Cricetulus griseus: one gene and its partners. The protein of the gene in region 2 purifies or fractionates together with the protein of the main gene of each other region. This does not show direct contact. Links are inferred from orthologs where the notes say so. Each region holds a gene or a part of one and is shown on either strand. Other genes may lie near its edges.

Region 1 (4,126 bases), on a different chromosome or scaffold from region 2:
AGGAGGTAGAGGCAGGAGGATTTTTCAAAGTCAGCCTGGTTTATATAGACAGTTGCAGACCAGATAGGGTTGCACAGTAAGACTCTGTCTCAAAACAAAAGAATGGAGTTTCCTAAGTGCACTTCAGGGATTTCAAAGCAAATAAACAAAGAATAACAAAACTATATAATAAGGGGCCGGGTCAGTTCTCAGGTGACACTGTCTAGCTCAAATTCTGGTTTAGTTATATACTAAATTTGTGACCTTACAAGTTACTGGATTTCTAGTTCTTTCGTCCAAAAACTGGAAATATTTTAATAAATGCACATTGCAATATTTCACTCACTATATTGTTACCGACAGTAACTTCTGTAAGGCACAGAAAGTCCTCAGCAAAGCATCTGGCATACAATAAGCAGTCAATAAGTGTCAGCTATTAATATTATATATGCCTCTCTAAAACTCAAGTAATCCCTATGTAGCTTTAAAACAAAAAGAGCTTAATGGGGGGGGGGCAAAGATTAAGTATCCATCATAAAGTAAAAAACAGCAAGTGAACTGACTGCCCTAAAGAGAAAATAGGGTACATGACAGAACAAATTGCCACAATGCCAATGAACTTTCCTACCCCACCCACAAACTGGCAATCTCCTCTCTTAGACCAACCATCTATTTTGAAAAGGTGGAGCTGCTGAGATATAAAACCACAATGCCCAGGTATGGAGAAATATCAAACTAACAAACCTGCCTGCTACTATTCCCAAGTTTTATAACAAAACACATAGAGAGAAAGCTGAGGACTGAAATTTTCTACCCTACTATTGGAAATAAAACCTGGGCTTCCCTAATGCTAGGCAAATAAACTACCACTGAATTATATTCCCAGTCCCACCCCCATCCTAACTTTTTATTTTGAGGCAGAGTCTTACTAAGTTCTCCAGGATAGCCTGGAACTTGTAAAATCATCTTGCTTCGGTCTCCCAGGTGCTGGGATTACAGGCATTAACTATGACATGTGGTTGGAAATTGAATTTCAATGACAACATACCATCCTAGTACTGCACTTAACATAAAATAGATACCTTGCAGATGGCACAAATACCTTTAGGGCAAATGTGCTACATTAATATTCTTATTTTATTTTACATATTAAACCAATGAGACCTAGAAAGATCTAAATGTGTAAACTAAAAGGACCTCAATACTAAATTCTTCCCTTAACTTGTGTGTGCTAACAAAAAGAACTATCTTTATCGCACCTCATTTCAGGCCAAAGTGAATAAATCTAAGTTAGGACTATCCTAAAAAGGGCAGGTCTGCTATGGTTAGCCAAGGAGTCTTCATTCATGAGACTGGCTCAGATCTAGGAGAAAAAGGCTTTCACTTCAAACATCCAGAAAGCAAGAAACTTGATGCATTACATACATACACAGACAAAGGCAATCACAGAATCACTCTGTATCTCAAAAACCTCAAGTGCTAAGTGGATGTATTTCCTTAACATTGCCAGACAACTCCAACAGTATGGGCAAGGCGGTTACAATTCATTGATCCTTGACAAGACCCCGTGGGATAACTAAAATGCTTGGTGTTATCTTTACAGACAGGTCTGTTCTTGTATCTTGGAAGACTTTGACTACAACACCAACTTACTGAGCAATAAAAGACCCAGAAGTACATGACTGACACTGTTTAAACCCAAGGAGAATGAAGCTCCATTCACTTCCAGGGTTGTTCTCACTGGCTTATACCTGGTTTATTTTCTGAAGGAAAAAAAAAAAAAAAACCTTTCCCCCACTAATCACTTTGAAACTAGAAACTCTAGTTGCAGCAGGCAGTCTTTTGGACACTTCAAACCTCTTGGACAGTTTGCCAGCTAGGCTTCAATTACTCTGGGCTGGTCACAGAAGGCTTTTTTCTATTACCAAGTCACTTAGTTCACCACCTTCGTATTCCACAAGGGAAGAACACGGTAAAAAGATTTTGGAAAAATGCCCAAGAAAGGAAAAAACCGACCGGCTTCCTGAGGGTGTCTCCATCCCTCCCAGCCAGCCAGTACGTGGTGACTTCCTACCGAAGGCCACCAGGGGAGTATGGCCAAAACCGGCTCTAACACTGCAGGAAACGTTTCAAGCCTAAAAGCCACTTGTAGGATTAGCAGATCCATTCTGGGCACCTCTGCCAAATTGTGTCCCCGCAACATCCCCACTAACTCTTTGTCCCCAAGTTGCCTGGCCCTGCCCTGCCCTTGGGCCTGACCCTGGCGCCCAGCCCCACCCCGGGGCCGCAGCAGTTCCCCTTCCCCGGCTCCCAAGGCACACCCAGAGGCCTCGGTGAGCAGCTCCTCCTCCCCCACAATCCCGCTCGTCGGTGGGAACCAGCCTGGGCTGAAGGCAGCTCCCCCGCCAGGGTCACTCCTGCCCTCTCTGCCCACGTCCCTCCTCCTGAAGCGGACCAGAGTTCCACGGCCCTCACCCCCGCCCGGGGCCTCCCGCCCGCCTGTCCCTCACCCGGCGGAGGCTGAGCGGGCGACGGAGGCACTGGAGGGCGCGGGCCGCTGCTGTTGATGATGTAGTGGGAGACACGCGAGTTTTCCGAAACGCTGAGCACATAGTCCCCGGGGCTGGTGCTCGAGTCCCGCACCAGGAACACCCCGTGCCGCTGGCCCTGCAATAGCGCCACCGCCTCCTGCCGGCTCAAGCGGCCCCAGTACCAGCTACTCCGCTCCTCCGAGTCGAAGTTGCCCGCCATGGCCGCCTCCGCGCCTTCACGCTGGGCCGCCGCCGCCACGCGCGCCCCTCCAGCCCTGGCGCCCGCCGCCCAGCGGACCGGCTCCGGTGTCAGCCTCCCAGCAGCGCCCGAAATGGCGGCGGCGGCCGCGGGCCTTCCCCACCGGAAATGACGCGCTCTCTACCCGAGGGAGGCTGCCGGGAAGGGGGACCGCCGCCCGCCATTGGGAGAAGGGAAACGGAGTCCTTGGGGCCCGCAGTGCGCACGCGGCTTCTTCATGGGCGTCGCCTCCAGGTCCAAACCCTGGCGACCGAGGATGGGGAGGCGGAGTCTAGGACTAAGGGGCGGAGCTTCAGTCTGCAAGCTGACTGATGTGTGTCTGACAGATTGGTGGCCTAGGTCTTTCGCCCAGGACCTACAGGAGTGGAGTAGTAAACGGTCCCAAGATGTTAGCCTCCCTCAAAGCTCCCTGACAAGCTGGTATTTTTCTGCTGTTTTCTTCAGTTTCCCCCGAGGTAAGCAGAAGTTCTTGTTACTCAGTAACAATCATAGACGTTACATTTCCCTGCAGGTGCAGTGGTGATCCAGACTGGGCCGTAAGTCACCAAATTCACAGACCAGTGGGAGGAACCAGGAAACAATTAATGACAAAGGAACAACAAATGCTATGATGGAAAACAGGAATATAAAGAGATCAACTAGGCAGTCTGTAGAGGGATCCAAGGGACTGGTAATGTGACTCATGACTGTAACACCAACACTTAGGAAACTGAGACAGGAGGATTACTGTGAGTCTGAGGCCCTACCTTACAAAACCTAAACAACAAACAAGGGTCCACAGATGAGGTGGCTTGAATGATTGGGTGTTGAATGGCAAGTGGGGAAGGATACTCAATGCAAAGAAAACAAAATGCTCAGACAGGAGAAAGGATTGAGGCTCCTATGTCAACCAGACAGTTTCCTCTATATTCTCAGTTGTAGTGATGGATGTCTCCTACTCTCACTTGCTTCATGATCATGATCATCTCTCTCAATTTTTTTTTACTTTGAAATGAAAAAAATTGTTTTTGTTTTTTTGAAACAGGGTTTCTCTGTGTATCCCTCTCTGTCCTCTAACTCACTCTGTAGACCAGGCTGGCCTCAAACACAGAGACCCACCTGCCTCTACCACCCGAGTGCTGGGATTAAAGGCGTGTGCCATCACCAATGCCCTGCTTGACATGAAATCTTATGATGTAGCCCAGGCCGACTCAAGATCCTTCCACGCCAGCCTCCCCAGTACAGGGATTATAAGAATGCACCAACATGCCTGGCTGGCCACTATTGCTAAGATTCCAGTGCACAGCCCGCCTGCTGCTGTTCCTTAGTTTGGCTTGCTGGATGACACTGTAATAGCCATCAGTACAAGTTTTCTAAA
Region 2 (4,241 bases):
TGGGATTACAGATATGTGCCACCAGACCCAATTAATTTAACTTAAAAAAAAAAAAATTAAACCTAGCAGACGTGGGTATAACTGAATTTGAGGCCTGCCTGGTCTACAAAGTCCCAGGCAGCCAAGGCCATGGTTGCGCTATATAGTGAGACTGTCTCAGAACACACACACACACACACACACACACACACACACACACACACACACACACACACACACACACACACACACACACACACACGTTAAAAACCAGGGGCTGTAGAGACTTAACTCTGGTTAAGACCACTTATTGCTCTTGCAGAGAACTCAGGTTGGGTTCCCAACACCCACATGATGGTTTATAACCATCCATAACTCTAGCTGCAGGGGATTTGACACCCTTTTCTGACTTACATGGGCACCAGGCATGCACATGCCAACATATACATATATACATGCAGGCAAAACATTCATATACATTAATTAACTCGATCTAAGAACCACAAATTTACTAGATTTTTTTTTTTGGGGGGGGGAGTTGTTTGTTGTTTGGTTTGGTTTTTGGAGACAGGGTTTCTCTGTAGCTTTGGAGCCTGTCCTGGAACTCAATTTGTAGACAAGGCTGGCCTTGAACTCACAGAGATCGGCTTGTCTCTGCCTCCCAAGTGCTGGGATTAAAGACATACACCACCAACGCCAGGCTAAATTTACTAGGTTTCAAAGGAAGACACATTAGTAAATATTTAAAAACAGTTTTCTTCTGTGCCTTTACAATATAATCTCACTGAATCTTGGTATTTTAATATCAAAATATTCTAAATTGACTTATTTGAATTATTAATATAAATTCAAACACTGGATACTAAAGTTCAATTCCCCTTATTGATTCAGCATTTATTCTGCATACATGTTAACACCTAAATATATAACCACAAGAACATATGTAAATTGTGAAAGTGACTATAAAAGTAAGAGCCTGAAGCAAATTTCCAGAGATGAATGATAGTAAACAGAAACTAAAAACACAGTCCCATCCAAGGAGAAAATCAAGTAGGCACACAACTAAGAAGTCTTCAAGGGAACGAATTCTTTAAGAGGGGAAACTGCCAGAATTAGCCAACAGAGTCAGAACAGACTGCCAACAGAGATCATGTTTAAGGCAGGTCACTAACTAGACTAAGAAAGTCAACACCCAAAAGTCAATGTTTCCATTCCCCAAATTTGAGTTTCAGAATGATCGTTCCAAACAGATTAATGACCAAGACTAGACCAGTTAAAGGCTCTATCTTAAAAGTTTTCCCTGTTATCTGCTGATCAAAACATAATGACCCACAGGAAATAAATGTGCAGTGAGGTTTGTGAGGCTATTCCTGTACACTGAAACTCTTTTACCTGAAGAGATGTGTGGGGGGGGGCACGGAGACAGAGACTATATATATTATATATAATATATATAATCACTTTTTCTGGGCATGTGGCTTAGTTGGTAGAGTACCTGCCTAGCCGTCATGAAGTCCTGGGTTTGATCCCTAGCAATAAATAAACTTAGTATAGTGGCCCAGCCTATAATCCCAGCACTTGGGAAATGGAGGCAGAATGAGCCAAAATTCAATTTATTCTTGACTACTCACTGAGTTCAAGGACAGCCTGGTCTACATGAAACCCTGTCTCAAAGTAAGTAAAATCTCCATCCTGGTCCCTAGGGAAGATACTTTTTTTCTTTTCTATCCAAAAATGCTAGGGGGAAAAGAAAAAGAAAAAATCATAAGACTCCTTCATCGTAACACAGTAAGAGTCTACTGTCCAAACACATGCCCTACCTTAGTGTAAAAACTTTAGCTTAAGTCAAGTAAATCTAGGCCGAAGAGACAAGATGGAAGGGAGCTATCACAGGGCAGGCTGTAAAGCTGAGGTGGGCAGTTACCAGCTCTGGGGAGGACAAACTTCTGGGCAGTTAAGATGGATGGAATGGCAGGTGTATGGCACCTCACTCTCCTGGATGTCGGATTGCTCTTGGGTTTAAAGAAACGGAGAACTCCGGCTCTCCTGAGTGAATATGTTCAAGAGTTCCCTATGAAACTCTAGGACTTGACTATGAAGGAAAACGGGGGTGGGGGGGGACGAAATAGCGAGACGGGGGAGCGATTCAGAGAGATCGAAAACAGCTTTTGGATGAAATCGTCCTAGGACAAAGTTATGTCCCCCGGGGGATCCCAGACGGCGAAGGACAGGGCCACCCCACCTGCTGAAGGCTGGCGCTGTTACCCACTGGGTCGGCGATCCGAGACTGCCCCGCACGGGTGGGAAAGTCTGCAAGGGGATCTGAGCAGAAGTTAACCTGCCAGGAGGGAGAGGCGCGAGTGGGGCAAGTACCTGGGCAGGCTGCGACTTCTGGAAGCGAGGATGACTCGGGGAGCCGGGGGGATCTCGGCAGCGGTCACTCCCGCACGCCAAAGCCGAGCAAAGCTGAGGGAACCCCGCTCCGCCGAGGGCGAGCCTCGCACTGCGCGAGCCCTACGGGAGTTCACCTGGCGGCCGTCAGGCCCGCAGAGAAACTTCCCGAGAGCGTGAGCGCTGACGGGACCGGGAGGGGAGCGGAGCGGAGACCCGCGGAGGCGGCAGGGTGGGAGCCGCGCGGGGCGGAGCCGTGCGCCCGGCGACCCGGGCGGGGCGCGGCGGCCGCGCCTCGGGGCGGGGGCGCGCCCGCGCTCCTCACGCGCTCCGCCGAGCGCGCCCCGGGGCGCCGCCGCGCCAGCGCGAGAGCGGTGGGGAGGGCTGGGGAAACCCGGCGGGTCGACCCGGGCGGACCGGCGGGCGGCGTTACCTGTGTCAGGGAGAGCTGGGCTGCCGCAGCCATGGTGTTTCCATCATGCCACGGGAAGAAGGAAGGACGGGCGGACGGGGGCCCGGGGCGGGAAGGAGGCGGAGGGACAGGCCGTAGGCGAGGCCGGCGGCCGGGCGTCTCCCCGAACTTCGACAACTTCCCTCCTCACGCCGCCCCGCCCCGCCCCGCCCCGCCGCCGCCCCGCCCCACAGGCCGCGGCGGCGCGCAAAGCCCGGCGCGGGTGTCTGGGGCGCGGAACCAGGCCCTGACCCCGGCCGCCCTGGAAAACCCGGTGCGGATGGCGCACCGGGCGGACTGGCGGCGGAGGCGGCCCCCACAGAGACCTGAGAAGTTGAGACAAAACGCCTACCTTTCTGGGCTGCTGTTCCTGAAAAGTGCGGGAAAATATACCCAGGTCCAGGTGGGTTGTGGGAACTACGAGAGTAATGGTACTAAGTAATGATAGCAATGGTTTAGCAATAATAATATTAAACTATACTAATTTATGTGCGATTGGCTCTGCACTAAATGCTTTAATTTTTTGTTTGCTTGCTTTTGAGACATGGTGTCTCTATGTAGCCTCAAGCTGGCTTCGAACTCACAGAGATCCACCTGCCTCTGCCTCCAGAGTGCTGGGATTAAAGGTGTGCGCTACCACTCCAGTCCTAAAAGCCCTTTTGTTGTTTTTGTTGTTGTTGTTGTTTGTGTTTTTGTTTTTCAAGACAGGTTTTTCTCCGTGTAGTCCTGCTATCCTGTAACTTGCTTTGTAGGCCAGGCTGGCCTCAAACTCACAGAGGTATGCCTGCCTCTGCCTCACCACCACCCGGCTTTTTTCTTTTCTTTTCTTTTCTTTTCTTTCTTTCTTTCTTTCTTTTTTAATTGCGTGACTAGAGGATTTGAAACAGAAAAAAAAAAAAAAACTATACAAATGAGGAAGATGAAACCCAGCTGGGCATGGTGGCACATCTCTGTGAGCTTCCCAACAGTCCTGGTCTACATAGTGAGTTCCAGAACAGCCAAGGATACATAGGTGATACATACGACCCTGTCTGAAATTTAAAAAAAAAAAAAAAGGAACACCCCTCCAAAAAAAGAAATTATCTTACCTGAAGTCAAACATCTGACTAAAAAGCCAGATTACAGTTTAACTCCAAGGCCTTTCTACCTGCTGTCATGTTGAAAATGAAGGCAAGTAATAAATCCTTTCCTCCTAAAGCCAAAATCTGGGGAGCAGGACAAGACTACTTCCCTTGTCTGCTACCTTTCTCTCTTAGAGTGTTCACTTAAAAACAAATGTGTAGGACCACAGTGCAGTTCAGTGGTACCTGTGTGCACAAAGCCCTGGTCCCATCCCAAATTCACTTCTTGGCAAGGTATCTCCTCTCCAAACCAGTGTACACACTGTTTTGTTAACCTCTCTACAGGAGGAAGTAAGCAT
Region 3 (2,682 bases), on a different chromosome or scaffold from region 2:
CAAAACAACAAAGGGTCCTCAAAAGCAGAAGAGGGAGATCTACTTTTCCTGGAGGGTTAGGAAGCAAGTTGCCCAGCTGAGGCACTGCAGGGCCAGCAGTGTATGCAGCATCCCTGGTTAAACCGAGTGCAGCCGCAGGGCGTGAAGCCCCACACAGACCACACCAGCAAAGGTCATGAGTCTGGCAAGGTAGTTAGGGTGCTGGAAGTCATACATCCTGTTCATTGGGTCACTGTCATCTGTCCCTGGTTATGCAAACAGTCTTGGAAGTGGCATGTGCCTAATTCAGAGTGAGTGTCTGCTTCCCATGGGCCTACAGGAGTGGGTTGGGGCACTATCAAGGCCAAGAGCAGAGGATATGATTTTGGAGGTCTCCGGGGTGGACCACGGTAGGCGAGAAGCTCTGGAACTGCACAGAAGTCTTGTTGCCATAGAAGAGATACATTCGGCCTGCAGCGGGTGGGTAAGGGTTCCATCCAAGCTCTTCTGATCCCATCCCCTACCGCCAGCTCAGCCAGGCAGAGGTGACTGCCGAGAACCCACCCTCCAGCACCCCACTCCAGGCTACCAGGACACACCCAGGTTCTGTCGGAACTCGGACTTGACTCCAATCTGCAGCAGCTGGTTCTCAAACAAGACCCCACTGTTCTTACACACGAACCTGGCAGAGTGGTGGGAGTCAGGATGGTAGGGCTCCTGACCACCCATCTTTATGTTCCCAACTGTCCCTACTCTCCAGCCCACCCCTCCCAGAACTCACTTATTCAGCAGTTCATCTGCTTCTGGGATGGGAGGGCCTATGTCTTCAGGACCTGGGCTGGAGGGGAGGAAGAATTGAGATGAACATGGGCTTGAGGAAACAGGTATAGGCAACACTCCCTTGGAAGGCAGATTCCCCAGAACCCACAGGCCAAGCTTCCCCAGAGACCCTCAGGAATGGGAGTGGGACCCTGGCAGAGGGATCTCCCTAGGACCCCAACTTTCACTGTTTCCTAACCCTGCCAGTCATCAGAAACCCCTGAAGCCCACCCTGGGAACATCCGTCAATCCCAATAGCCAGAGGCCACCCCTTACTCAGCAGCTGGAGCTGGGTCAGCCAACAAAGCCATGGGGCTCTCAGGGGCAGGGGGCTCCAGCTCGCTGGGCCATCCAATCCCAGAGCAGACAGAGAAGACAGGTGTGGCAGGCAGCCAATCCCAGAGGGCAGCAAGAGGGCCAGGGAAAGAGAGGCAAGAGGGTTCAGAAAGAAAAGTGGGCTGAGATACAGCTATGGGAAAGAACAGCACAAGGTAGGCAGGGCAGCAGAGTCTAGTGGCAGCCAGAGGCTAGGCACAGGAAGGAGATGAAAGGGGATGGGGCTGAGTAGGACAGGAACAGGAGGTACCTGAGGAAGGCCTCCTCAGGGGTGGGTCCCAGGCTGGGCTGTGCCGTGGGACCATCAGAGAAGACATCCACCAGGAGGTTCCCACCTACAGGGACTGGAGGTGCAGCAGGGGGAGGGGCTGCCCGCAGCCCCAAGAGGTCCGCGGAGGGTGAGGGTGTCGACTGCAATTAAGGTTAGACGGTATAGGTGAGACAGGGCAAGAGAGAGGGGACCCAGCCTGGCCATGTGGTCCATAACTGGGCTCACCACGGTACTGGGGGTGGGCTCCACACCCCCATTGATGTCACTGTTGCTGGTGTCCCTACGGCTGTCATCCAGGGCACTGGCTGCCCCAGGGCCCTTCTTGCGCTTCAGCTTGGCCAGAATGGATGACTCGCGCTCAGGAAATGGGGGCATTTCTTCTAGTACAGTAGCCTGTGGGCAGGAGGGGAGGTTAGGGGGCACTTATGGCCCAAGAGGGTGGTCCCAAGGTGTGGGGCATGGGCTCTGACCAGAACATCGGTGCTGGCTACAGAGCTGAGGGTGAGGTACTCCACTGCCCGCTGCTGTAGCTCCACATCGGCATTGCGCAGCTGGGAGCCGGCACGCAGAACTCCTTGGATAGTGGCCTTGGTCTCAGGGAAGAGGTTGATGAACTTGATATATGTGGACAACAGCAGGGCGCGAGTGGCCACGCTGCACAGGTGGAACTTGGAGTGCAGCAGTGAGAACTGCACAGGTGGGCTGTGGAGGAGGTGAGGTCAGCAGACACGCCCGTCACCCACACACCTTAAGGCAAGGCTATGACATCACCCAAGCGGGCAACTGAAACGTGTTGAGAAGGTTCCTAGGAACCCCATCATTTCTCAGCTCTCAGCCTCATGGGGGTTCCCCAACCCCTAGTAGGTCCCCCAGAATGAGGCTCCCTCACCTGGAGCGTGGGTCCCCAGCAATCAAATTCCCAAACTCCCCAAGGATGTAGCCACCGACCTTCACCATGTTTTCATGACAGGCTGGGGCCTGGAGGGCCTGTGAGGGAGCAAGGGACAGCAGTGTGAGGACAAGGATAGAAAAGTCCCCCTGACCTCTGCAATGTACATGGGGTCATAAACTGAGGCATGGGAGTTGTTAAGTGACTAGCCTAAACTCAATGTTACAGTGTGATTCTGAGATCTCCCACACATACTATGATTTTAGTGCTTGATCCCCAGCTGCTGACGCTGTTTGGGAAGGTACTAAAAACTGTGGAACCTACCTGGGAGAAGGGAGGGCACTAGGGAGTGTGTTATCTTTGATTACTTCCTGGATAGCCATGACTA

Evidence for each region.
Region 1: the proteins of Eps15 (region 2) and Crk purify together in Homo sapiens (affinity purification with mass spectrometry; 3 studies listed by BioGRID and IntAct, with this or other methods). This does not show direct contact. The link is inferred for Cricetulus griseus from reciprocal best matches to the Homo sapiens genes EPS15 and CRK.
Region 3: the proteins of Eps15 (region 2) and Ap2a1 purify together in Homo sapiens (affinity purification with western blotting; 5 studies listed by BioGRID and IntAct, with this or other methods). This does not show direct contact. The link is inferred for Cricetulus griseus from reciprocal best matches to the Homo sapiens genes EPS15 and AP2A1.

What each region holds. Positions count from the first base shown.
Region 1 is NC_048600.1:89,144,258-89,148,383, reverse strand, and holds the start of Crk (adapter molecule crk), read right to left. Parts: upstream 2,877-4,126; 5' UTR 2,731-2,876; coding exon 2,490-2,730; intron 1-2,489. UniProt on the Homo sapiens protein: Involved in cell branching and adhesion mediated by BCAR1-CRK-RAPGEF1 signaling and activation of RAP1.
Region 2 is NC_048595.1:40,533,872-40,538,112, forward strand, and holds the start of Eps15 (epidermal growth factor receptor substrate 15), read right to left. Parts: upstream 2,837-4,241; coding exon 2,804-2,836; intron 1-2,803. Other genes in the region: uncharacterized protein LOC103159787, read left to right, coding at 2,835-3,224. UniProt on the Homo sapiens protein: Involved in cell growth regulation. May be involved in the regulation of mitogenic signals and control of cell proliferation. Involved in the internalization of ligand-inducible receptors of the receptor tyrosine kinase (RTK) type, in particular EGFR.
Region 3 is NC_048599.1:153,739,129-153,741,810, forward strand, and holds part of Ap2a1 (AP-2 complex subunit alpha-1), read right to left. Parts: intron 2,393-2,682; coding exon 2,295-2,392; intron 2,108-2,294; coding exon 1,876-2,107; intron 1,799-1,875; coding exon 1,631-1,798; intron 1,546-1,630; coding exon 1,385-1,545; intron 818-1,384; coding exon 761-817; intron 662-760; coding exon 579-661; intron 451-578; coding exon 361-450; intron 1-360.